Linked DNA regions of Rattus norvegicus. The protein of the gene in region 3 interacts with the protein of the main gene of each other region in a pairwise test. Links are inferred from orthologs where the notes say so. Each region holds a gene or a part of one and is shown on either strand. Other genes may lie near its edges.

Evidence for each region. The genes of interacting proteins can lie anywhere in the genome.
Region 1: the proteins of Homez (region 3) and Eloa interact in binary tests that used the Homo sapiens proteins (3 or more experiments, as listed by UniProt). The two-hybrid records come from large-scale screens. The link is inferred for Rattus norvegicus from reciprocal best matches to the Homo sapiens genes HOMEZ and ELOA.
Region 2: the proteins of Homez (region 3) and Def6 interact in binary tests that used the Homo sapiens proteins (3 or more experiments, as listed by UniProt). The two-hybrid records come from large-scale screens. The link is inferred for Rattus norvegicus from reciprocal best matches to the Homo sapiens genes HOMEZ and DEF6.

What each region holds. Positions count from the first base shown.
Region 1 is NC_086023.1:153,514,664-153,522,228, forward strand, and holds the end of Eloa (elongin-A), read right to left. Parts: intron 6,392-7,565; coding exon 5,212-6,391; intron 4,755-5,211; coding exon 4,640-4,754; intron 4,206-4,639; coding exon 4,050-4,205; intron 3,948-4,049; coding exon 3,850-3,947; intron 3,344-3,849; coding exon 3,163-3,343; intron 2,420-3,162; coding exon 2,308-2,419; intron 1,569-2,307; coding exon 1,390-1,568; coding exon of another isoform or gene 1,262-1,389; exon of another isoform or gene 851-1,261; coding exon 789-850; 3' UTR 467-788; downstream 1-466. UniProt on the Homo sapiens protein: SIII, also known as elongin, is a general transcription elongation factor that increases the RNA polymerase II transcription elongation past template-encoded arresting sites.
Region 2 is NC_086038.1:6,287,832-6,295,019, reverse strand, and holds the end of Def6 (differentially expressed in FDCP 6 homolog), read right to left. Parts: intron 6,750-7,188; coding exon 6,583-6,749; intron 6,497-6,582; coding exon 6,298-6,496; intron 4,245-6,297; coding exon 4,154-4,244; intron 3,992-4,153; coding exon 3,771-3,991; 3' UTR 3,296-3,770; downstream 1-3,295.
Region 3 is NC_086033.1:32,304,260-32,313,058, forward strand, and holds the start of Homez (homeobox and leucine zipper protein Homez), read right to left. Parts: upstream 5,216-8,799; 5' UTR 5,191-5,215; coding exon 5,166-5,190; intron 1-5,165. UniProt on the Homo sapiens protein: May function as a transcriptional regulator.

The sequences.
Region 1 (7,565 bases), on a different chromosome or scaffold from region 3:
AGAGACAAAATAAGGAAGGGTCTGTGTGTCTGTGTGTCTGTCTGTGTGTAAAATACTGAACCAGAAACTAAAATTATAAAACTGCTGAGGTCCTACATCAGTTCATCTCTTAGGCTCTGTCCTCCAGTGAGCTGGAAAATGGGGGAGAGTAGTATGCTTTGAAGATGATGCAAACGGCCTTCCTTAACAAATCTACTGAAGAAAAGTGCCCACCAAGGAACAGTGGGGGTTTCAGCAGGGAGGCTCCCCTGGAGGACAGGCATCCTGGCATTCACTCACTCCTAGCCCTGCATCTGGGTTTGGAGTGACACACTGGCTCTGAAGGACCAGTGTCTACTCAGAAGAGCTGACTAGGACAAGAATGGCTTTCGCTAGGCTCATCTAACTTTAATAAAGGACCTGGAAAGTAAAGGGCTAAATATAGTGGACCAAAGAGAAAATAAAATAAAATAAAAACCCCTGGGGGTATTATAAATACATCTGGGGGCAATATTTATTAATTAAAACTATGTCTTATAGTTTACAAAGATGCTAATTAGCAACAAAAGTATAACTGATCTTAAAGTCCTCAGTAAGACTGAGGCTCATACTGTCTTCAGAAATCTGAAGTGTGCTACAAGCAGGGTGCAGGGCTGAGGCACAGAGGGGGACACCTGGAACTGTGCAGGAGTCAGAGGCCAAAAGTTCCACAGAGCAAAAGATACGGGTCTTCTGTGGACATCCTCTTCTCCCGTCCCCATAGTCCCTGTAGTCCTGCTTCCAGACTCAACCTCCAAGGCAAGTCCTGTTTATCGTCGGGAAAATCTGTTCTTGAATGCTTTAATGGTCTTGGCCATCATCGGGGCAATTTCTGTGAAGAAAAAGGAGACAGTTGCTTCAGATTGGAGGCAGGACAGACATATGCCACTGTGGTTCATAGCAAAGCCAGGCTAAGTTTGTTTTCCATGGCTGTGTATCTCACCTCCATGCACAAATGGACTAACCAGCAGGAACTGTCTGAAAAGGTGCCAGAGAAACCCCGTCCTAAGGCAGACCCCGTAGGTGCAGAACCAGCAGCATCTCTTACAGCTTTTGAAGACTGGCTGCTGTGCTCATGGATAGCTCAAGACACAAATCAGTCAGAAGTCTTTGCTGACCTTTGGGGCCATAATGCCGACAATTTAACTTTGTAACACACACACACACACACACACACACACACACACACACACACACACACACACACGTATCCAGAGCCTCCAGCCCCCCAGAGCAATGGGTCTCAGGATGAGCTAATAAGCATGAACACCTGAGGAGGGCCAGTCTGACTTGGCTGGTGTTCTTTGTCCGATAACGTCTGTGTCAAGATTCCCCACCAGCCCACAGCCTGCTCCCACCAAAGTTGCTTACTCTTCACAGCTGGTTTCCTGGGATCATAGGAAACAGAGCTGCTGGCCACAGGAGCTAAGTGGGCACTGCTGGTACTGGGCCCTTCGTAGGCCAGCTCCTCAGGACTTGAGTGGAAGCTGCTGCTGCTGTTGCTGGCAGGAACATGGCTGCTTCCTGTTGTATATGGTGCTGGCTTAATCCTGAAACACGGAACAAAGCTGATAATTAGCTGGAACACAGCACACAATCTAACAGAGCTGTTGCTGGGTGACTGGGTGACTGCGCTGTGGCTCTGTGCGGTGGCCTGGTACACTGAGTCCTGGTGAAGAATCAGATACAGCTGTCAGCCCTTTATTGAGAGTGACAGTCACACTAAGCTTTTCCTGTTAAAATGTCAGTCTATCGGGGCTGGGGATTTAGCTCAGTGGTAGAGCGCTTACCTAGGAAGCGCAAGGCCCTGGGTTCGGTCCCCAGCTCCGGAAAAAAAAGAACCAAAAAAAAAAAAAAAAAAAAAAAAAAATGTCAGTCTATCATTTGGAAATGCTCACATGCCCTAAAAAAAAATGTAGTCACCCTGGGAATTTGTTTTGCTTTGGTATGTATATGTATGCAGATGTGGGGACCATGGGCAGAGATGTTCATGTAGAGGCCAAGCCGACCTTGGGTGTCATTTCTCAGGAGCCACCTAATTACGAGATAGAGTCTCCTGCTGAGATGGAGCCCGCCCTGCAGGGTCGGGTCCTTCCTCTACAGGAGCACACGTGTAAGAAACGGAAATGCTCCACCTCAGCAATGAGAAGGGACACTAAGGCAGAGGGAAAGTGCAGATCCAGGAATCATTCAGGAACGCACTCTCCAATGCCTGCCGCCACCACAAAGTCAGGCACTTCCTGCCCCCAGCTCCCCTTCAGGGTAACGACCACGCAGCAGAGATCTTGCCTGACTTTCTCAGGGACAGCTGCTCCCCCGGTTCCAAACTTCTCCTGCCTCCGTCGAACATCTCTCGGTGGCTTGGCCACAGAGTTCACAAAGGCCATCTTTGCTTGTCGTCCTGAGTAGAAACACAAAACATCAATATTTACCTTCATATGAAAGGCACCCAATTTGAGAGTCTAGAGCAGTGGTTCTCAACTTTCCTAATGCTATGACATTTAATACAGTTCCTCATGTTGTGGTGACCCCAACCATAAAATTATTATTTTTTTTTAAAGATTTATTTATTTTATATGAGTACACTGTTGGGGCTGGGGATTTAGCTCAGTGGTAGAGCGCTTACCTAGGAAGCGCAAGGCCCTGGGTTCGGTCCCCAGTTCCGAAAAAAAAAAAAAAAGAACCAAAAAAAAAAAAAAAAAGAAAAATGAGTACACTGTTGCTGTCTTCAGACACACCAGAACGGGGCATCGGATCCCATTACAGATGGTTGTGAGCCACCATGTGGTTGCTGGGAATTGAACTCAGGACCTCTGGAAGAACAGTCAGTGCTCTTAACCTCTGAGCCATCTCTCCAGATCACCCATAAAGTTATTTTTTATGGCTACTTCCTAACTGTAATTTTGCTACTATTGTGAATGGTAATGTAAATTTGTCTGTTTTCCTCAAACTAGGGTTCTAGGCAACTAGTGAAATGTTTTTTGAACGCCTCAAAGGAGTCACAACCCAGAGACCACTGGTCTAGAGTCTTCTAGAGCTCCAAACCAGGGCTCCTCAGGTCCTGTGAACCCAATCTCTGAGCAGCCAGAGGCAGGAGACACAGCCCCACCTGGATGCCCTTGCCCAACCCCACACTTCCTGTACCTTTTGGCTTATTGGCATGTGCAGACCGGATGTTGTTTGTGAGCAGGCGCAGCCGCTGCTCTCGGGCGTCCTGAAGCCTCAGGTACATCTCCCTCCAAGACTCATACTCTTCTGGTCTTTCTTCCTTAAAGTCCCGGTGACAGTGAACTTTCCACAACTGATCTGTTTCCTCAATTAATACCTGGAACCAGGACCAAGACTTCTATACAACTTTCCCACACATCTCTCCATTACCTACCCATGACCCAATGCCTATGGTGTGGGAGAGGGAGGGTGATGTGGTAGCAGTAGTTACAGAACCACACTACTGGGAAGAAGGCAAATCACTAGATAGATAGCAGGAAGCAGGCGTAGTTGCTCACGCCTTTACTCTCAGCACCCGAGAGGGAGAGGTAGGTGGGTTTCTAAGTATGAAGGGTAGCCTGGTCTACACAGTGACTTCCAGGAGAACCAAACTCTGTCTTGAAAAAAACCAAAACCAAAAAATTAGCCAAACAATCAAAACAAAAAGGCTCCCAGGAGCAGACACAAAAAGTATGCTTGTGTAAAGGTCGAGACGTGCAAACCAAACATGCCCAGAACAGTGATTTGCCCTCTGACCTGCCCTTCGGCCAAGGCAATCCAGAGACAAAGCTACCTTTGGAAAAAGAGCCAGGAAGGTACGCCATTCCCACTTAGGGCACTCACATGATTGCATTCCTCTATTCGGTAGAGCTGATCGGGTGTGCACCTCTCCAAGACAGGTTCAAGAACAGAATAGGGGACTCCTCCCACTTCAAAGATGGCTGCAGAGAAACCAGAGGTGAGAAGGTGAGTGCTGAATGGCAGCCAAGCTCCCTGTGACAAAGTCCCAGGGCAGTAGCATAATCAAGAGATCGGTGACTCACAGTCAATATTATTCTTAAGCACCCGGATACACTGCTGGTGCAAGGTCATCATTTTGGGGAGATAGGCACACTTGGAACCTGAATACACCTGCATCTTAGAATTCATTCTGCGTCCTGTGAACCCAGCTTCTTCTTCTTCCTGGGGTGAAGAGAAAGCTGTAGAAAGAAGAAAACCAGCAAATCACAAAAGATCTCCAGCCCATAGTGAAGAGCCCCCACACGGCAGCCCATCACTTTTTTTTTTTTTTTCTTCTTTTTTTCGGAGCTGGGGACCGAACCCAGGGCCACTGAGCTAAATCCCCAACCCCGGCCCACCACTTTCTAACTCCGGCAGCAAGGGCTCCAACAGCCTCCTCTAGGGACCTCCTTGGGCAGCACACACACTTGGTGAACAGACATAGATGCCTGCGAAACACTAATGCAGGCAAACTAAAAATATAATCTTTAAACCTAGCACTTGGGAGGCAGAGACAGGTGAATCTGACTTCAAAGCCAGCCTGTTCTACAAAGTGAGTTCTAAGGCTACACAATTTTGAAACAGACTCTTTTTCAAAAAAATGAAAATAAATGAAAAAGATGTCCAAAATTACCTTTTCGCTTTGGCTGAAAGGAGGAGATCAACTCGAGGGAGGGAAGGGGACGATAGTTGGTTTGTATGGCGGGCAAGGGGATGTCTGGCAATGCTGGCAGCACATCAGTAGGGACCTGCAAGAGAGAGTGCAGAGCCCACCCTGTGAACCCAGCTTTCTTCCCTGCAGTCGGCTAACCAAGCATACCATACAGGCAAGCAGGTCAAGGAGAGGGAGCTACAAGTCACCCATGACACCAGTTAGGGTCACTGAAATAAATGCTGATAGGGCAAAAAAATGTCTTAGAAAATTGTGAGGCGCTAAGAAGTAAATGTAGGGTCTCATACATTCTCAGTGAGTACTGTACTACTGAGCTTCCTCCCTAGCCCGGAATAAAGCTTATCCTGTCACTGTCCACCTTAACTGCTAGCATGGCTGAGAATATTAATAACGATCAAAACTCAACCAGTTGAATGGCAGCAGGACAGTGGCCTGGCGGGTTGTACGGTAAAGAAATCATATGGCAGCAGCGGCCTGGCAGGCGGGCTTTCCACACTTGGCAGGCAGGCAGGAGAGACAGAGCAGTCAGTTACCTTTCTAGGCCTCGTGGGTTCGGCTCCAGCTGGCTGCAACTTGTCTGACTTGTTTTCATTCACCTTGGGTAATTTCTGAGCCGAGTTCAAGTTTTTACTAGTGCTTTTAGAGTCCTTCTTTTTAAGTCCTTTTTCTCCAAGTGCTGTACCGGAAGTTTTCACAACCTTCTTCTTTTTCTTGCGGGGCTGGTCATAGCTGAGGTATGACTCAAAGGACATGGTGGGCTGCTCAAACTCATCATCCATGTCCATCTCTTCTACTTTAGGGAGTGAGCCTGGTGACTTTCGATCCGAGTTAGTTCTTACTTTCCCCTCCTGAGCCTTCAGGTTGTTGGGAACTTTATCCTTGGCTCTGGGTAATGGGTCTCCTGTCCCTCGTCCTGAGTCCACGCTATCTACACTCTGCTTGTTTTTGTCAGACTTGATTTTCTCGGAGTCCTTGTGTTTGGGCTTTTTAAAGTGGTTGTCTGAAGCAACATCTAAGGCAGGTGACAACTTCTTCTTGAGGCTGTTGCCTTCTCTGTCCTTCTCTTTCTTGACAACACTGGAGGGCAGCTTCTCCTTGGCACTGTCCTCTGAGAGTAGCCTTCGGCTCTCCTCTTTGGAAGAGGCTTTGTGTGACTTCTCTCTGCCCATGACAGAGCTCTTCTCATCCCCCCTGGCATCCACAGGGCGTTTCTCCTTGTGGGAAGATTTGTGTGGCTTGTTTTGGCTAACAGCCCCTTTCCCTTGGTGCTCACCCAGGTGACTAACCCCTAGTCTGTCCTGAAAGGTATTACTGTGGACTTTCCCAGGCTTCGGGTGTGAGACGATGGGTTCCTGGTCCATCTCTGGGGACCTAGAGAGGTCTGTATACATTTGATGGGGACTTGAAGGTGGAGGAGATTGAACATGACCATAGTCAGACGACTCGGGGTCTGAAGAATATGGTGGTGACACTTTGTGACACCTCTTCCTTTCATCTCTCCTCTCGTGACCATGAGCCACTTTGTGAGGCCTTTCAAGCTCAGGAAGTTTTCTGTGCTTTTTCTGTCTGTGCTCAGGGCTGTAGGGCTGGCTGCCTGAGGCTTGCCAGCTTTCCTGGTAGTTCCCCTCCGCTTCCTCCTCCTGCTGGGGAACATCTCGGGGACGCTTGCGGGAATTGCTCTTCTCAAAATCCTGATCCTCAGCCTCATTGTTTCTAGAACAAAAGCCAGAGCAGAAGCAGGTCTCAGCATTAGCCTCTTCCAAGTCTCAGACCTGACCTCAGCCATGGAGGCACAGGCTCCATCCCAACACTTGGGTGGTGGGTCAGGAACTCAGATGCTCAAGGCAGTTCATCCTCTGCTACAAAGCAAGTTCAAGGCCAGTGGGCTACAGAAGACCCTGCCTCACCACGAAACAAAACAAGGACCAGGCCACAAGTGCTGGCTCACACCTATAATTCCAGTACCAAGGAGGCTGATAGGATTGTTGAGGAATCAGATGTTCAAGGTCACCATGTTACATAGCATGTTCAAGGCTGGATTAGATTGAGTCACAGAATGAGACCATGTTTTAAAAGAAGATATTAAGGCCAGTCTGACAGCTCAAAAGATAATACTTGTCATGCAAGCCTCAAGATCCTAGTCCAATCCCATGGTGGCAGAAGAAAACCATTTCTTAAAAACTATCCTCTGATCTCTGAGCACAGTTCCAGCCACTTCCACCCTTAGTATGCTTGCTAAGTGAGAGAATCTGTGCTCAGTCCTCAACATACCTGTGCTCAAAAAACACCCAACAAAATGTTAATGTTTCTCATTAAAAAAAAAAAAAAAAAAAAAAAAAAAAAAGAATTGTACCCTGGCATGTTGGCCCATTTCTTCTTCTTTTTTTTTTTTTTTTTTTTTTTGGAGCTGGGGACCGAACCCAGGGCCTTGTGCTTGCTAGGCAAGCGCTCTACCACTGAGCCAAATCCCCAACCCCGGCCCATTTCTTTAATTCCAGCACTCACAGGCATAGGCAGGCAGATCTCTGAGTTCAAGGCCAGCCTGGTCTTGAGTTCCAATGTGGCTATAGTAAGAGACCTTGTCCCAAAAACCAAAACCAACCAACCAAAAAAAATTTAAGAAAAAAAATATTTGTTTGCATTTTTACATATTTATTTCAATGAGAAGCCTGCACTATACACACATGGAGGCCAGAGGACAACCTTAAGGAGCCAGAGCTCTCCTTTCACCACATAGGTTGCAAGGATCAGTAGTTAACAGCACTGACTGGGGTTGGGGATTTAGCTCAGTGGTAGAGCGCTTGCCTAGCAAGTGCAAGGCCCTGGGTTCGGTCCCCAGCTCCGGGAAAAAAAAAAAAAAAAAAGAATAGCACTGACTGCTCTTCCA
Region 2 (7,188 bases), on a different chromosome or scaffold from region 3:
TCACCAAAATGAGCAAGTAAAGATGATTGAAGTCCAGGATGCCTTCTCCACACAGCATGGATCCAACTCTTTTTTTTTTTTTTTGGTTCTTTTTTTCGGAGCTGGGGACTGAACCCAGGGCCTTGCGCTTCCTAGGTAAGCGCTCTACCACTGAGCTAAATCCCCAACCCCAAATATGAGTCAGGATCATTATCTCTTTTTTTTTTTAATTTATTTTTTATGTATACGTCATACACCTTTCTGCCTGCATGTATGCCTGCAGGCCAGAAGAGGGCACCAGACCTGATTATAGATGGTTGTGAGCCACCATGTGGTTGCTGGGAATTGAACTCAGGACCTCTGGAAGAACAGACAGTGCTCTTAACCTCTGAGCCATCTCTCCAGCCCCAGCAGTTACCTTTGTTGTACCCTAAGTATGAAGTGCTTCTCTGGGCCTACTTGTTCCATGGCGCCATGATCTTCGTGTTCATGGGACCCTGAGGGCTTTGCCAGCTTGGTAGCACACACCTGAAATCTTAGTATTTGAGTGACCGTTGTCAGAACGATGGTGAGTGCAGACCAGCATGGGCGAGGGTGAGCCCGAGGGCAGCCTGAAGCATGAATTAATAAGTAAAGAAGTGTGAGCTAGGGCTGTGCTGGAGAGGCAGCCCCTGAACAGTGAGCGGTAAGAAGGAGACATTCACAAAGCCCTAGTTGCTGTACTAAGCTCTGCAGAAACAAAGCAGACCAGGCAAGCCCGGGCAGCCTCCACTCATAGTCCTGGCACCTGCTTCCCTCTCCTCCAGTTTAGTTATTCCCACAGCACACGGACTTTGGGCTTCACATCCCGTCCCTCTGCTCTGCACCTTCTCACGCTAGTGGCTGTTTCATGGCACTTTAAACGTCACACACTTCCTTGAAAGAGCATCGGGTGCACTTGCAGGAGCTGCGAACTTTGTGATCAGATAGCGAGGAGCAAGCTCCGGGAGGGCGGGAACCCTTCCCCTATAATAGTTCACGCCAGGGCGGGAACCCGGGTAACAGCTCACACCCAGCATAACGCCTGGCCCATGGTAAGGAATCACCAGGTTCCATGCTGGACGGGCTTGAGCTGCAGTCGCAGCAGTATCCTCACATTCTAACTGCTCCACGCCCAGTCGTGCATTGCACTCGCTCACACAGCTTTCTCAGGAGCAAACCCTGTGCCAGGCATTGGGGACAGCGTTGAGGAAGACATGTCCTTGCCTTCAAGGACCTCCAACATTTGGAAATGAGGAGGAAGGACTTCGTGGTGAGACCTAGAAGAGTGAGAGGGAGAAGCCGAGGCTATACCCCTGAGGTAGAACTGTAGCAGGTCTTCTTGGCTTGATGAGCAAGGCCCTCGTGTCCCACAGTGCACAGGGGCAAGTAAATGTGACCCACAAAAGTCAAGCTGCAGGTCCAGGGTGATGGCTCGACAGGTAAAGGCACCTGCTGCCAAACTTGGTGTCTTGAGTTTGATTCCTGGTACCACATGGTAGAGAGAGAGAACTGACCCCTGAAAGTTGTCCTCTGACATCTACACGCTCACCATCACACAGAGAGAGAGACAGAGAGAGAGACAGAGACAGAGACAGAGAGAGAGACAGGAACACACAGAGACACACCACACAGACAGACAGAGACACACACATGCAAAGAGACAGAGAAGACAGACACACAGAGATACGGACACAAAGAGACACACACAGAAAGAAACACAGAGACAGATTTAGAGAGACAGAGAAGACAGAGACACACACAGAGAGAGACAGACACAGAGACACAGAAAGACAAAGATACACACAGATAGACAGAGACAGGGAGACAGACAGACAGAGACACACAGAGAGACACACACACAGAGCAGACAGAGACACACAGAGACACACACAGAGCAGACAGAGACACACAAAGATACAGAGCCCAAGAGACAAACAGACAGAGACACACCGAGAGACAGAGACACATGCACAGACAGACAAAGAGACAAAGGGACAGAGTCACACACACACACACACACACACACACATGTGCACACACATGCAGAGAGAGAGAGAGAGAGAGAGGAGAGAGAGAATATAATTAAATTAACTCTTGGATATAACTGAGCCTGATTGTCCTTACCTGTAACCCCAGCCCTTGAAAGACTCAGGCAGGAGCTTGCTGAGTTGGAGGGCATCCTGGGCTACACAGAGTGAGAGCCAGTCTTAATCACTACAAAGCCTTCTGGACAGCAGCAGGAGTCTGGAAGGGAGCAACACCCCTGCTGTTTGGAAATCCCACCCAGGGAACAGAATTGGAAGAGTGCCAGGGAAGCTCTTATTTAATGAGGAGCTGACAGAGACTGGCGTAAGGCAGTGGCCACTGGCCATAGCACCACAGGGATACTGACTTATTAAATGTGGGGGCAAATGGAGAAGTCAATGGTTCGAACTCTGAGCTATGAGGATGGGGAAGGGGGTTGTATTAATGACCTCTGTGTCACTGTGACACTGACACAAACAACTGAAGGGAGGAAAGACTTCTTCCGGCTTAGGTCTCAGAGGACTCTCACTCCATCATGATGCGGGCGGCATGAGGAAGTAGGTCCATCGGAGGGTGTTTACATCTGGGAGGACAGCAAGCAGAGAGCATAGAGTGACTCTCTTTTCAGGAAGGTCCCACCTGCCGGAGGCTCAACGGTCTCCCAGAAATAGTGCCCTAGCTGGGAGACAGGCATCCGACACACGAATGAGGGGACAGTCTAGACACAAACCATTCTAGAGAGAGTTACAAGGATATAAAGAACGGTGATCCCAGTGGACGTCCCAGGTTTGGGATGAGGGATATAGAAGTGGAAGCAAACTCCGTGGAGTCTAGAATCTCAGATGTCTTGTCTGGGAGAAGCTCAGTTAACATAACAGTCACTCAGCACTTAGGGTTTCGTTGGGAATGAAGTAATGTGGGTGGCCTCAGGGTAGACAGTAAATGCTCAATAAACACCTCAGACACTAGTGATGACAGTGCTCGCAACTGTGCCAAGCGCGAGCTCCACTCAGGAGGCTACATCAGGGGCTATGACCCTCTCCATAGGCCCATGTTGGGGGATGAAGTTCACCTGTGAGAAAGTGGCAGAGCTGAGTTCATCCCACAGTCCGTGTTCCTTAATTGCCTCACCACACCTGCTGCCCCAGAGACCTAGAACTTGAACTCAAGGTGGGGGGAGGGATAAATGGAGGGAGGGAGGGAGGAAGGGGCAGGAGCAGTGGGGAGGTGTGAGCAGTTTTATTTGGAAGTATGTCTCTGTGACTCGATCTGGAGGGAGGGGCGTGTGATCTTTTTTTATTTTTTTTTTTTTAAGAAAAATTTATGTTACGTGTACAGCATTCTGCCTGCATATGTGCCCGAAGGCCAGAAGAGGGCACCAGATCCCATGACAGATGGTTGGGAGCCACCATGTGGTTGCAGGGAATTGAACTCAGGACCTCTGGAAGAGCAGACAGTGCTCTAAGCCATCTCTCCAGCCTAAGGGGCATCTTGGTCGTTCCTCATCTTTCCCAGCTCTGGCCCCAGTGTTCTTTAGGACAAAACCATATTCTCAAGTATTAATATCCCGGACAGCCTCCATGGTCTCGGCCTGCTGAGAATGGCAACCTAGTCCGATCCTGGACTGGCTTTTGGTCAGCAGGTGGTAGCACCAGGACTTTACCAGAGGCGGGAGTCACCCACAGGTCTGCTGGGACCAGGTCCGTGGACACAGCATCGGAAGAACAAGGGGGTCTCATCGGAGGCTAATTTTCTGGCGCTGCATCCAGTTTCTCTTCCTGAGAGGCCAAAGCCAGGATGGGAGTCTCGTCCCCACCATTGAGGGACTTCTGTTCGCTGCTGTTGGCCGAGAGGGTTCTGTTGCCTTGGGACCCCCAGCGGGTCAGGCGCTTTAGAGAGGAGTCACGGCGGGCGAGCGGAGGGGCCTGGAAGCCGGTGAAGGAGCTGCTGGTGGTGGGACGCTTATCTGGTGGAGAGAAGAGACGGACAAAAGGGGAAAGTGAGTCGGAATGGGAGAAGAGAGGCTCATGCCTCGGCCCTGGGAGACCTTTGATCTTTCAGTTCCACCTCCGTGACCCGGGAGATCTGGCAGCCTCCCTTTCTCCCTCCCAAACTGGGGAAGGTTCACCTCCAGGCTCGATCGGATGCATGAGCCTGTTCATCTGGACGTTCCAGTGTTTCACGTTGGTGCTGGCCTGGCGCAACTTCCTCTGGGCAGCCTGCAGGGCAAGGTAGTGGGAGTGGGTCAGAACTGCCATCCGTGGAGTTCTGCTGTCCCCGTCAGGCTCAGAGGCCCTGAGAATCTGATCACAGCTACCCAGCTCCTCCCTAGGAAGGCTGGGCATGGCCGCGCATGCCTGTAGTGCTAGCCCTTGGGATGTAGACACAAAGGGCGGTCAAGGCCTGTGCTACATAATGAGTTAGAGGCCAGTGCGGGTTGCAGGAGCTCCTGCCCCAAAAAGGATGGGGGAAGGGAATTTGAGAGTGTTAAGAGCACTTGCTGATCTTTGCACAGGACCCAGGTTTGGTTCACAGCACTATGGTAACTCCAGTCCCAAGGGGATCCAATGCCTTCTTCCAGCCTCTGAGGAGTCTTGCATGCATGTTGGGCATATATATATATACAGTCTTCACCATCATCACCACCACCATCATCATCTACCGAGCTGCTAAGATATGCTGAGTGCCTTTACAAATTTATCTAACTTCCTAGACAAAAGTTAACAACAGTCAGATTTGAAACACGTTCAGTGTCCTACCCAGGAACATAGGCTGGGTACCAAAGCACTCAAAGCGCTGTAGGACAAAATTCTCCTGGACCTCACAGGAGAGTCTGCTCCAGCATTCAGAGCCCTAAGCAGGGGTCCGGTGGGTGGGCAGATCCATTCCTTCCCATGTTAACATTTCTGTGTTGTCGTAGGTGGCTGTGAGCTGGGTGCTGGGGGCTAAACCTGGGTCCTCTGTAAGAGTGACAAGTGTTCTTAACCACTGGGCCACCTCTCCAGTCTCTGTGTTGTTTTTCCAATGACTCTGCCAGCCAGACAAAAAAATAAATAAATAAATAAATAAATAATAAATGCTTTTTAAAAATTTATTTTTAGAGGTTGGGGATTTAGCTCAGTGGTAGAGCGCTTGCCTAGCAAGTGCAAGGCCCTGGGTTCGGTCCCCAGCTCCGAAAACAACAACAACAACAACAACAACAACAACAATAAAAAAATTTATTTTTAACTGGGCTGTTGGTCTGTAGAGTGGGTTTCAGGATAGCCAAGGCTTCACAGAGAAGTTCTGTCTCGAAAAACTAAAGGCAAGGGCTGGAGGGATGGTTCAGAGGTTAAGAGCACTGGCTGCTCTTCCAGAGGTCCTGAGTTCAAATCCCAGCAACCACATGGTGGCTCACAACCATCTGTAATGTCCTTCTCTGGTGTGTCTAAAGACAGCTACAGTGTACTCACATACATAAAAGGAATAAGTCTAAAAAATTTTTAAAAACATTAAAAATATGGGCTGGAGAGATGGCTCAGTAGTTAAGAGCACTGACTGCTCTTCCAGAGGTCCTGAGTTCAAATCCCAGCAACCACATGGTGGCTCACAACCATCTGTAATGAGATCTGATACCCTCTTCTGGTGTGTCTGAACACAGCTACAGTGTACTCATATATAATAAATAAATACATTTTAAAAAATAAAATAAAATAAAAATACATAATTAGGCTGGAGAGATGGCTCAGTAGTAAAAACATTGGCTGCTTTTAGAGGACCGGGGTTGGGTTCTCCCACCCACATGGTGGCTTAGAACTGTAACTCCAGACCCAGTCGATCCAACAACTAACACCTTCTGGCCTCTATGTGCACTGTTCGCACGTGGTGCACAGACATTCATGCAGGCAAAGCACACATACACATACATTTTAAAAAGTTTAACAAAAGATTTTTTAAAAACTCCACCAAAACAACGACAATATACCAAACTAGAACCTTTTCTACGGGCATTCAAGCTCTAGGAAGTGTTTGGGGGTGGGGCGGGGAGGGATTCTACCCAGGTTTATAGCACTATTGGCAAACCAGCTGCATGAGATTCGGCATTTGCATACTAAATACCACGCATAAAATACACTGCTTCCTCTCCCGGATGAGAGACTTCAGACAGTTTAGGCAATTTGTAGGCGATAACACAGCCAGCTGAGGATAATGCGAGTTTGAAGACAGGTCTGGAGGTGGGAGCTATGACATACTGCCTCCCCCATCTTCTACGGTTCCCGGTCGGAATCTCACCTCCACGTCCTCGTCTGCCCTCTGCCGGTTCTGCCGCACCTCCTCCAGCTGCTGCTGGGCCTGCTGCAGGGAACGGCTCTGCAGCGCCATCTCCTGCTGAAGCTCCTGCTTCTCCTGCTGCGCTCGCTCAATGTAGCGCTCTTGCTCCTCCTTCAGATGCATCAGCTGCTTCAGCTTCTCCTCCTCCTCCTCCAGCAGCCTGCCGGAGTGCACAGGGACGTCTCAGAGCCCAGGAGGGTCCGCGTTGGCGCTGGCAGGAAAGGTTCCCTTGGCTACCGTGCCTACCTGGTCTGGGCGAGGCGCACGGCCTCCTCATCTCGCCTAGCTTTCACCTCCAGTTGCAAAGCTTCCTGCAGCCGCTCCTGCATCTCCTCCAGCTCCGCGATGCGCTGCCGTTGCCGGGCCGCCTCTTCCTTCTTCAGCTCCATCTCAGCCTGCATAGAGGCCCGGGCCTGTGGGGAGCGCCGAGCCGGTCAGTGGGATGCGGGAGAAGAAAGACAGGCTACTGCCTCCCTCCAACTCCCAACCCTGGCTCTTTAGTTGGGGTTTCCTGATCTGAGCTGTTCCAGACCCTGAATCTTCAGATTATTCCTGCACTGGCTTTAGAAAGAATAATTAGATGCTTGCCGGGGCTGTAGCTCGGCAGCAGAAGGCTTGCCTAGTCTGCCCACAGCCCTGTGTTCGCTACCCAGCCTCGCACAAAACAACACCAGTTATAATTACATGTAATTAAACATTATAATATGTTCTATTGCAATAAACCAACATTAAACGAAGGTAATCCCTTCCTAGCTCCTACCCTAACAATTATAATATCATTATGGTGGGTGCCAGGGACAGCAATTATTAAGATAACCCAAAGTTATTGAACTCTTATTTTTTTTCCGAGAC
Region 3 (8,799 bases):
ACAAACACAAAAGGAGCCTGTGATTAGCAGGATAACAACCGTCTCAACTCTTCTTGTACTTACGACCAGGGGCTCATGTTATCCTCAAAGGCTCCCATCTTTGGTGAGATTTTTTTTTTCCTCGGGCTTGCAAGAGGTCTCAGCAGCAAAGACGCCCGCTGCCAGGCCTGAGTGCTTGAGTCGAATGCCATCAGTTTGGTTCCCGGGTCACACATGATGGAGAGAACTGACTCCAGAAAGTTATCCTCTGACCACCACACTGCCCATAGCATGAGCCCATTCATACACATATTTATGCACCCAGGCGCACACTCAAAAAAGGTCATTTAAAAAAAAATGTCCTGGGCTGGAGAGATGGCTCAGTGGTTAAAGCACTGACTGTTCTTCCAGAGGTCCTGAGTTCAAATCCTAGCAATCACAGGGTGGCTCACGACCATCTGTAATGAGATCTGGTGCCCTCTTCTGGTGTGTATGGAGACAGCTACAGTGTACACATATACATTAAATAAATACATCTTTAAAAACAAAATGTCCTAGCAGAGTGTAGTGACACACACTTTTCATCCCAGTGTGTATTGTTGTCTATATGCAGGTGAGGGCAGGCACAAGATAAGGCAAGGTGTGTGACTGGGCAGAGAAAAGGTAAGGCAGGCACAGAGTTTTGGAGAGGGGAGAGAGAGGAGAAGGTGGAAGAAGAACCAAAATGGAGGCAGAGAAAAACAACCCAGATCTGTGTGGCCTTAAAGGGTCACAGGTAGTTATGAATATTTTATAAGGAATAGATTTTTATAGGACAATTTGTCTTATCTAGGTGGGCAGTTTATATCAATATTAATTGGTTCAGAATTATTGTATGGATGTTTTATGGGGTGAGAATTTACGGATATAAATCTGATAGATAAATTATAAGCTTTTAGAGTTTTGATTTTACCGGGATACTGGGAGTTTTGACTATAACCACAGGGGGCAGATGCTGGGAATGAGTCTGCAGCAAGAGAGCCACGAGATAGGCGGTCTCTGTATGGAGCTGGGGTGGCAGCGACCATGGCAGTCTTGGAAACTAGGTGGATGGTCACTGATGGGGCTAGTCACTGAGGCGGAGAGACAGAGAGTAGCCAGCGGCAGCATGGGATGGAAATTGGACACTTAGCGAGTCGGGTTGAGATGATTTGCTGATTAAGATGAAAATACCCCCGCAGATGCTGCCTGGCCCACCAGAGCTGGCAATATGGTGTATCTTTTTTTTTTTTTTAAATATTTACTACAACATCCCAGCACTCAGGAGGTGGAAGCAGGAGGATCTCTGTGATTTTGAGGCCAGGCTGGTCTACAGAGTACATTTCATGACAGTCAGGGCTGATACACAAAGAAACCCTATCTTGAAAGAACAAACAAAACAAAATTAAAGTAAAAAAAAAAAAAAAAAGAAAGTCCTCCTTTTGAATGGCTGAGGTACTGGCTGACCAGAGGAATAATTGGCCTATGGAGTTCCAGAGTCTCTCCCTTAACAGACCTCTTGCAAAGCATTGAGAAGCCCAGCAACGTGTTAACATGGTGGTAAGTCGTTGTAACGTTTGGAAATATACCTAGTGGAAAGGCAAACTTGCTAAGATCGATGTGCCCTTCCTTTCTTAATTCTCCCTCCATCAAGCTTCCCCCTTTGTCCATTGGCAATGACTGCCATGGACATCTTGAGATTGGCTGAGCTAGGAAAACATTAGTTGGGGCTTAGTAGGGTACTTATGTGACTTTTCAGTTATGCCTATTTTTTTTAAAGATTTTATTTATTTCATGTATGTGAGCACACTGTAGCTGTCTTCAGACACACCAGAAGAGGGCATCAGATCCCACTGGATCCCAGATGGTTGTAAGCCACCATGTGGTTGCTGGGAATTGAACTCAGGACCTCTGGAAGAGCAGTCAGTGCTCTTAACCGCTGAGCCATCTCTCCAGCCCCTTCAGTTATGCCTATTAAAAACGTATTACCCCATGGCAGACACAGTTTCTGGACTGAATGTCCTTCCTTCTCCATGGTAAAACAGCAGTGGGCAACTCCAGTGTCTCACAGTGCGGGATCTGGAGGTCTTGGAGGCGGCGATTAATGTCTTAAGCTCTAACACGATCTAACCTGACTGTAGTCCTAACAGGGAGATTCTGACATGGCTGGGACTGTACACGGGGAACCATGTGAAGGTCCAGTGACACGGTGGCACACAGCTGTAATCCCAGCACTCCGAGTGGCAGAGGCAGAGTGATCACATTCAAGGCCAAGTCCAGGGGCAGCGAGCGTGGGGGTGGAGGAGACTACGATAAGGAAAAAGCTCAGAATGGAATTATTATCTTCATCTTGGGCTTCTGGTCTTCGCTCAGTAATAGAGGTGGGAGCCCCAGCACTGAAAACAGAACCCGGACAAAAACTAATTACATGAAAAGAAAAAAAAATAGGGGTTGGGGATTTAGCTCAGTGGTAGAGCGCTTGGCTGGAGAGATGGCTCAGCGGTTAAGAGCACTGTCTGCTCTTCCAGAGGTCCTGAGTTCAATTCCCAGCAACCACATGGTGGCTCACAACCATCAGTAATCATGTCTGGTGCCCTGATTCTGGCCTGTAGTTGCATACATGCAGGCAGAACGCTGTATGATGTATACATAATAAATAAATGTTTAAAAAAAAAAGGTGGGGCTGGAGAGATGGCTCAGCGGTTAAGAGCACTGACTGCTCTTCCAGAGGTCCTGAGTTCAAATCCCAGTAACCACATGGTGGCTCACAACCACCTGTAATGAGATTGGATGCCCTTTTCTGGTATGTCTGAAGACAGCTACAGTGTACTTATATATAATAAATAAATAAATCTTTAAAAAAAAAAAAAGGTACAAGATGCTTCCTTTCCGCCATTTTGTTCTGCCATCCCTAGTCTAATACCTTACACCAAATATGAAAGAAATGGTCCATTTTTCCGAGTTTGGAAAAAATGCTGTCTGTCTTTTAAGACACATTCTCAATAGTAGCCAAGGTTCATTCACCTGCTAGGCTAACCTTGCCTCCAGGCAATTCTTCTCCATTGGCCTCCTGAGGGCTAGAATTACCAGTGTGAGCTATTATGCTTGGTCTGAAATTTTTTTTTTTTTTTCCAGAGCTGGGGACTGAACCCAGGGCCTTGCGATTGCTAGGCAAGTGCTCTACCACTGAGCTAAATCCCCAACCCCCTGAAATTTTTTTATAACATAATCACTGTAACAGGCCCCAGACCTTGCCACAACTGACTCCATGATGGAAATACCATTTAGGCTGTAAGACTCAGCACGGAGATAGCCTCCTGCTAAACAAAAACAAAGGCCCAATCCATCGAAGCTGATGAGAGTTCTGGGAAAGTCTCAAGATATACTAACCTTGCTTGTTAGCTTGTTAGTTCCACTTCTGTTGTTAACTGAAGACATGGTTTTTGTGCTTAAAAGCTCACTCTGAGAAAGGATCAGAGCTCTATTGGGACCCTGAGTACCCAGTATTGTCACCAGCTGACTCATAGACTTCCTATTGGCTAAAACCCGTGTCCGGGCAGTCTTCTCTGGTGGATACTCCACAAGTCACAATGTGTAATTCTTTTAAAATTACCATAACCTGAAAATTAACAGTATGCTAGAAAACTGAAATCCTTTCTTGTTTGTTTTTCCATACAGGGTTTTTCTGTTACCTTAGCTGTGCTGGAACTCACTGAAGAGCAGGCTGGCCTCTAACTGAAAGATCCAACTACCTCTGCCTCCCCCGTGCTGGATTAGAGACGTGTGCCACCATGGTTCAGAACCTTATTCTTTGCAGTAAGTATTAGTTACCTGTTCTATGAAAAGGCTGTCAGTGCAGCAGGGTGGGTACAGCGCGATGGGTGCAGGCGCCTGCTGCCTGGCCTGCTGACCTAGGTTTCATTCTAGGGGAACCACACCCTGGAAGAGGGACGCCATCCCAAAAAGTTGCCCTCTGTCTCTATGTGTGGGTCTTGAACACACACAAATAAGCCAGGTATGGTGGTGCATACCCTTAATCCCATCGCTCAGGAGGCAGAGGTAAGTGGATCTCTGTGAGTTTGAAGACAGCCTGGTCTACATAGTGAGTTCCAGGACAGCTGGGGCTATATAGTAAGACCTCCCATCAAACAAACAACAAAAACAAAAAAGTTCAATCTGATTTTTTTTGGTATCCAAACACATGGAAAAAAAATTGTTTGCCAGGTAGGTAATTTTTCATCAGCTTTTTTTTTTTTTTGGTAGCGTGCATGTATGTGGGGGTTCACGAGTGTTTTAGATTGATGCCAAATCTTCCTTGATAGCTCTCCACCTCAGCTCTCTCTTTTTTTTTTTTTTTTGGTTCTTTTTTTTCCGGAGTTGGGGACCGAACCCAAGGCCTTGCGCTTCCTAGGCAAGCGCTCTACCACTGACCCCCTTTCATCAGCTTTTTAAAAACTGTAACTGATTTGCATTTCCCCAGTCCTTAAACGTTCACTTTATGCCCAATCTTGTATTTAAAATTTGTATTTTCGGGCTGCAGAGATGGCTCAGTGGTTAGGAGCACTGACTGCTCTACCAAAGTTCTTGAGTTCAAATCCCAGCAACCACATGGTGGCTCACAACCATCTGTAATGAGATCTGACGCCCTCTTCTGGTGTGTCTGAAGACAGCTACAGTGTACTTACAGATAATAAGTAAATAAGTAAACAAATAAATAAATCTTAAAAAATAAAATTTGTATTTTCTTCTTAAAAGTTGTATACTTTAGGATACAGAAGTTTTACTCGACTGTGTAACCAAATGACCATGTTCGGTTTCGTCCAGTGTTTGGTGTCTCCTCTCCTAAGAAATGCCAGAGGTCAGGGGAGCTCTAAGGCTGAATGGTCACCAGTGCAGGTGTTGGGAATCTGGGATGGATTTGAAACAGGAAAAGCTACATTAAAGCTCTCTGTGAAAGAAAGAGTTCAGGGGTTGGGGATTTAGCTCAGTGGTAGAGCGCTTGCCTAGGAAGCGCAAGGCCCTGGGTTCGATCCCCAGCTCCGAAAAAAAAGAACCAAAAAAAAAAAAAAAAAAAAAAGAAAGAGTTCAGATCAACCCACCATCAAACTAAGATGTCCAAGTTGGGAAAGAGGCTAGGGCCACGGAAGCCCTGCCCAGCCTCCACCTACCTCTCTCTGGGTGTCTAGTCCTCATGCTGACTCTTCCTTCACATATGTACTTCGCTTTCAAAACGTACTGAGTGGGTGCTGTGCAATGACATCACAGCTCGACTATTATGACGTAATGAGGAGGCCAGTGACTGTGCTCCAACCAGTGTCGGTGTTCTGAGTCTCATGATGGAAGAAAGCAGGCCACTCAAGGATGTGGTAAGGCCTTGCTGGCCCCAGGGAGAGCCAGCCACTGCAGACTGAATCTTGAACAACTGTACAAAGGCGTATTTACTGATTGTTACAGAGAAGTTAGTGTTTGGGTGAAACTGGTTCCTCATAACAAAGCCCCTGACCTGACCTATGTTTAGGGAAGGAGACATCACACCTCTGTGACTTCATGTTTATTGTACGCTGTCTCCAGTACCCAATAAAGCACAGCACTCCAGGTGTGCCTGGAGCTGTGACCAAAGTCATGGAAATGCCATGAAGCTCCTTCAGTAATACAACTCTATCAATCACAGGAAACAACCGCCATTTTCCACAATAATTCCTTCCAGGTCTACGTCCTTCTAGAAAAGAACTATTCATTCTATTATTTATCAGAGATACAATGAAAACCATTCCATGCTAATGTTTACCCTAGACAATGGTTTTACTTAGAATTACACTACAAACTAGGGCTTCCCTATCAGGTCTGCTGTTCTCATTACCCTGTGGCTGATTCCATTAGTAGATGAAGCATCCCGACCTAAGAGGAAATTAGCTTCTCCCAAGCTGGTCCCTTTAACCACACAGCTCGTGCTGGGTGCCAGGCAGCTAGAGCTTGGCCCTCCAGACTTTCCCACTGTCCAAAATGGTAAAAGGATCTGATTGGAGTGTCTTGGGTCAGGGTTGCCAAACCCTCTGTACCTCTTTCTCACCCAACGTTTACATGATCCAAGACTCCATTAGGGTTGGGAGGACAGCTCAGCGGGTAAAGGTACTATGTTACATAGCGTCATAAAGACATCACCTTGACACTGGCTAAAGTCATCTGAGAGGACGTAACCTCAATTAAGAAAATGCCTCCATGTCAGGTGTACACCTTTGATCCTGGCACTTGGGAGGCAGAGGCAGGTGGATCTCTAAGTTGGAAGCTAGCCTGGTCTACAGAGTGAGTTCCAGGATAGCCAGGATTACACAGAGAAACCCCTTCTCAAAAAACAAAACAAATAGAAAGAAGGAAATAAATAGAGTGAAGGAAAGAAAGAGGGAGGAAAAGAGGAAAGAAAATGCTTCCAAAAGTACAAGCCTATAAGGCATTTTCTTAATTAGTGATCGATGGAGGGGACCCAGCCCATGCAGATGGTGCCATCCCTGGACTGGTGGTCCTGGTGTTGCAGGATTTCTGATCACACTGTGAATCCCAACATTGTGTTGTTTACTGGGGAAAAAAAAATCTGTTTCTAGTTGTGGTGTGGTTCAGCCCTAGTCCATGCCTTTAACCCAAGGGCTTTCTGCTTGGATATTGTAAACAGGATTAAATATAGTCCACCTTAGGTCAAGAGACAGAGCAGGCAATGAGCTGGGAGGAAGTGAACAAAAAAAATCTGAGAATAAAAGAGAGTCAGGAGGACAGAGACAGGAAGTAGAAGGGAGGACATTCTGTTTGAAGAGTTCTTGAGACAGCATATAGAAAGGCCTTTTGAGTTCTTGGCTATGGAGAAAGGTCAGCTGGGTGCTTTCTCTGTCTCGTTCCTGAGTCTTCATTGGTAAAATTAAACGATTGAAATTTTGTTAAAAAACAACACCTGGGTTCTATAAAGAAAGAAGGCTGAGCAAGCCATGAGGAGCAAGCCAGGAAGCAGCAGCACCTTCTATGGCCTCTGCATCAGCTCCTGCCTCCAGGTCCCTGTCCTGTGTGAGTTCCTGTCCTGACTTCCTTTGATGATGAACAGCAATGTGGAAGTGTAAGCCGAATAAACCCTTTCCTCTCCAACTTACCTTTTAGTCAGTGTTTCACTGCAGCAGTAGAAACCCTAGGAAAGACAGGTACTTGTGGCAAAGCTTAAAGATCTGAGTCCCATGGAGAGATGGCTCAGTGGTTAAGAGCACCGACCACTCTTCCAGAGGTCCTGAGTTCAATTCCCAGCAACCACATGGTGGCTCACAACTCTCATGCCAGAGGGATCTGATGCCTTCTTCTGGTGTGCGTGAAGACAGTTACAGTGTAGTCCTGTAGATAAATAAGTCTTAAAAAAAAAAAAAGATCTGAGTCCCATCTGCAGGAAAGGAAAAAAAAAAAAAAGCCAGCTCTTCCAAATCATGCTCTAACTTCTGCCCTCCCAATAAAGAAAAATTATTAAATAGTAACTAGGTATGGTGGCTCAAGCTTGTCATCCAAGATGAAGCAGGATTATGAGTTCAAGGTCAGCCTGGATTACATAGGACCTGGCCAGCCAGAGCTGTAGAACAAGACTTACAAAAAATAGATAAGACAGATGATCAAAATGTGAATGCTTCACTCCTTCTTTAAAAGGGGAACAAGAATACCCTTGGCAGGGAATAGAGAGGCAAAGATTAAAACAGAGACAGAAGGAACACCCATTCAGAGCCTGCCCCACATGTGGCCCATACATATACAGCCACCGAATTAGACAAGATGGATGAAACAAAGAAGTGCAGGCCGACAGGAGCCAGATGTAGATCTCTCCTGAGAGACACAGCCAGAATACAGCAAATACAGAGGTGAATGCCAGCAGCAAACCACTGAACTGAGAACAGGACCCCCGTTGAAGGAATCAGAGAAAGAACTGGAAAGCTTGAAGGAGTTCGAGACCCCATATGAACAACAATGCCAAGCAACCAGAGCTTCCAGGGACTAAGCCACTACCTAAAGACTATACATGGACTGACCCTGGACTCTGACCTCATAGGTAGCATTGAATATCCTAGTAAGATCACCAGTGTAAGGGGAAGCCCTGGGTCCTGCTTAGACTGAACCCCCAGTGAACGTGATTGTTGGGGGGAGGGCGGCAATGGGGGAGGATGGGGAGGGGAACACCCATAAAGAAGGGGAGGGGGAGTGGTTAGGGGGATGTTGGCCTGTAAACCGGGAAAGGGAATAACACTTGAAATGTAAATAAGAAATACTCAAGTTAATAAAAAAAACAAAAACAAAAAATAGATAAACAAAAGCAGGAAACGAGCAGAACTCTCGGCTCCCCCTGTTCTTCACCCCAAGAATACTTCTAAATAGCTTCTCCCTGATTCCCTTATTTATTTGAACTCGCTCTGTAGACCAGGCTAGACTTGAACTCACAGAGGTGTGCCTGCCTCTGGAGTGCTGGAATTATGGGGTTAAAGACATGCACCACCACCGCCCAGTTCTCCCTGATTAATTTTATTTCCAATATGGTTTTGTACCTGCAGGAGGGCAGATGCATGAGGAAGCTGAAGTGAGGTTCAATACCAACGGGCTTCCAGCTGGCATAGTGCACGGGGCTGCACTGAGGGGCTGGAGAGCAGTCTGGGAGGGTCACAGAACAAACTCATTTTCTTTCCACATTAGCTACCCAGTACTATGTAGTACACATTCTATGGATTTACAAAGATCAGTACTCTTTAACTTTACCCAAGGAAGCTCAAGGCAGACAATAGAAACCTTACCAGT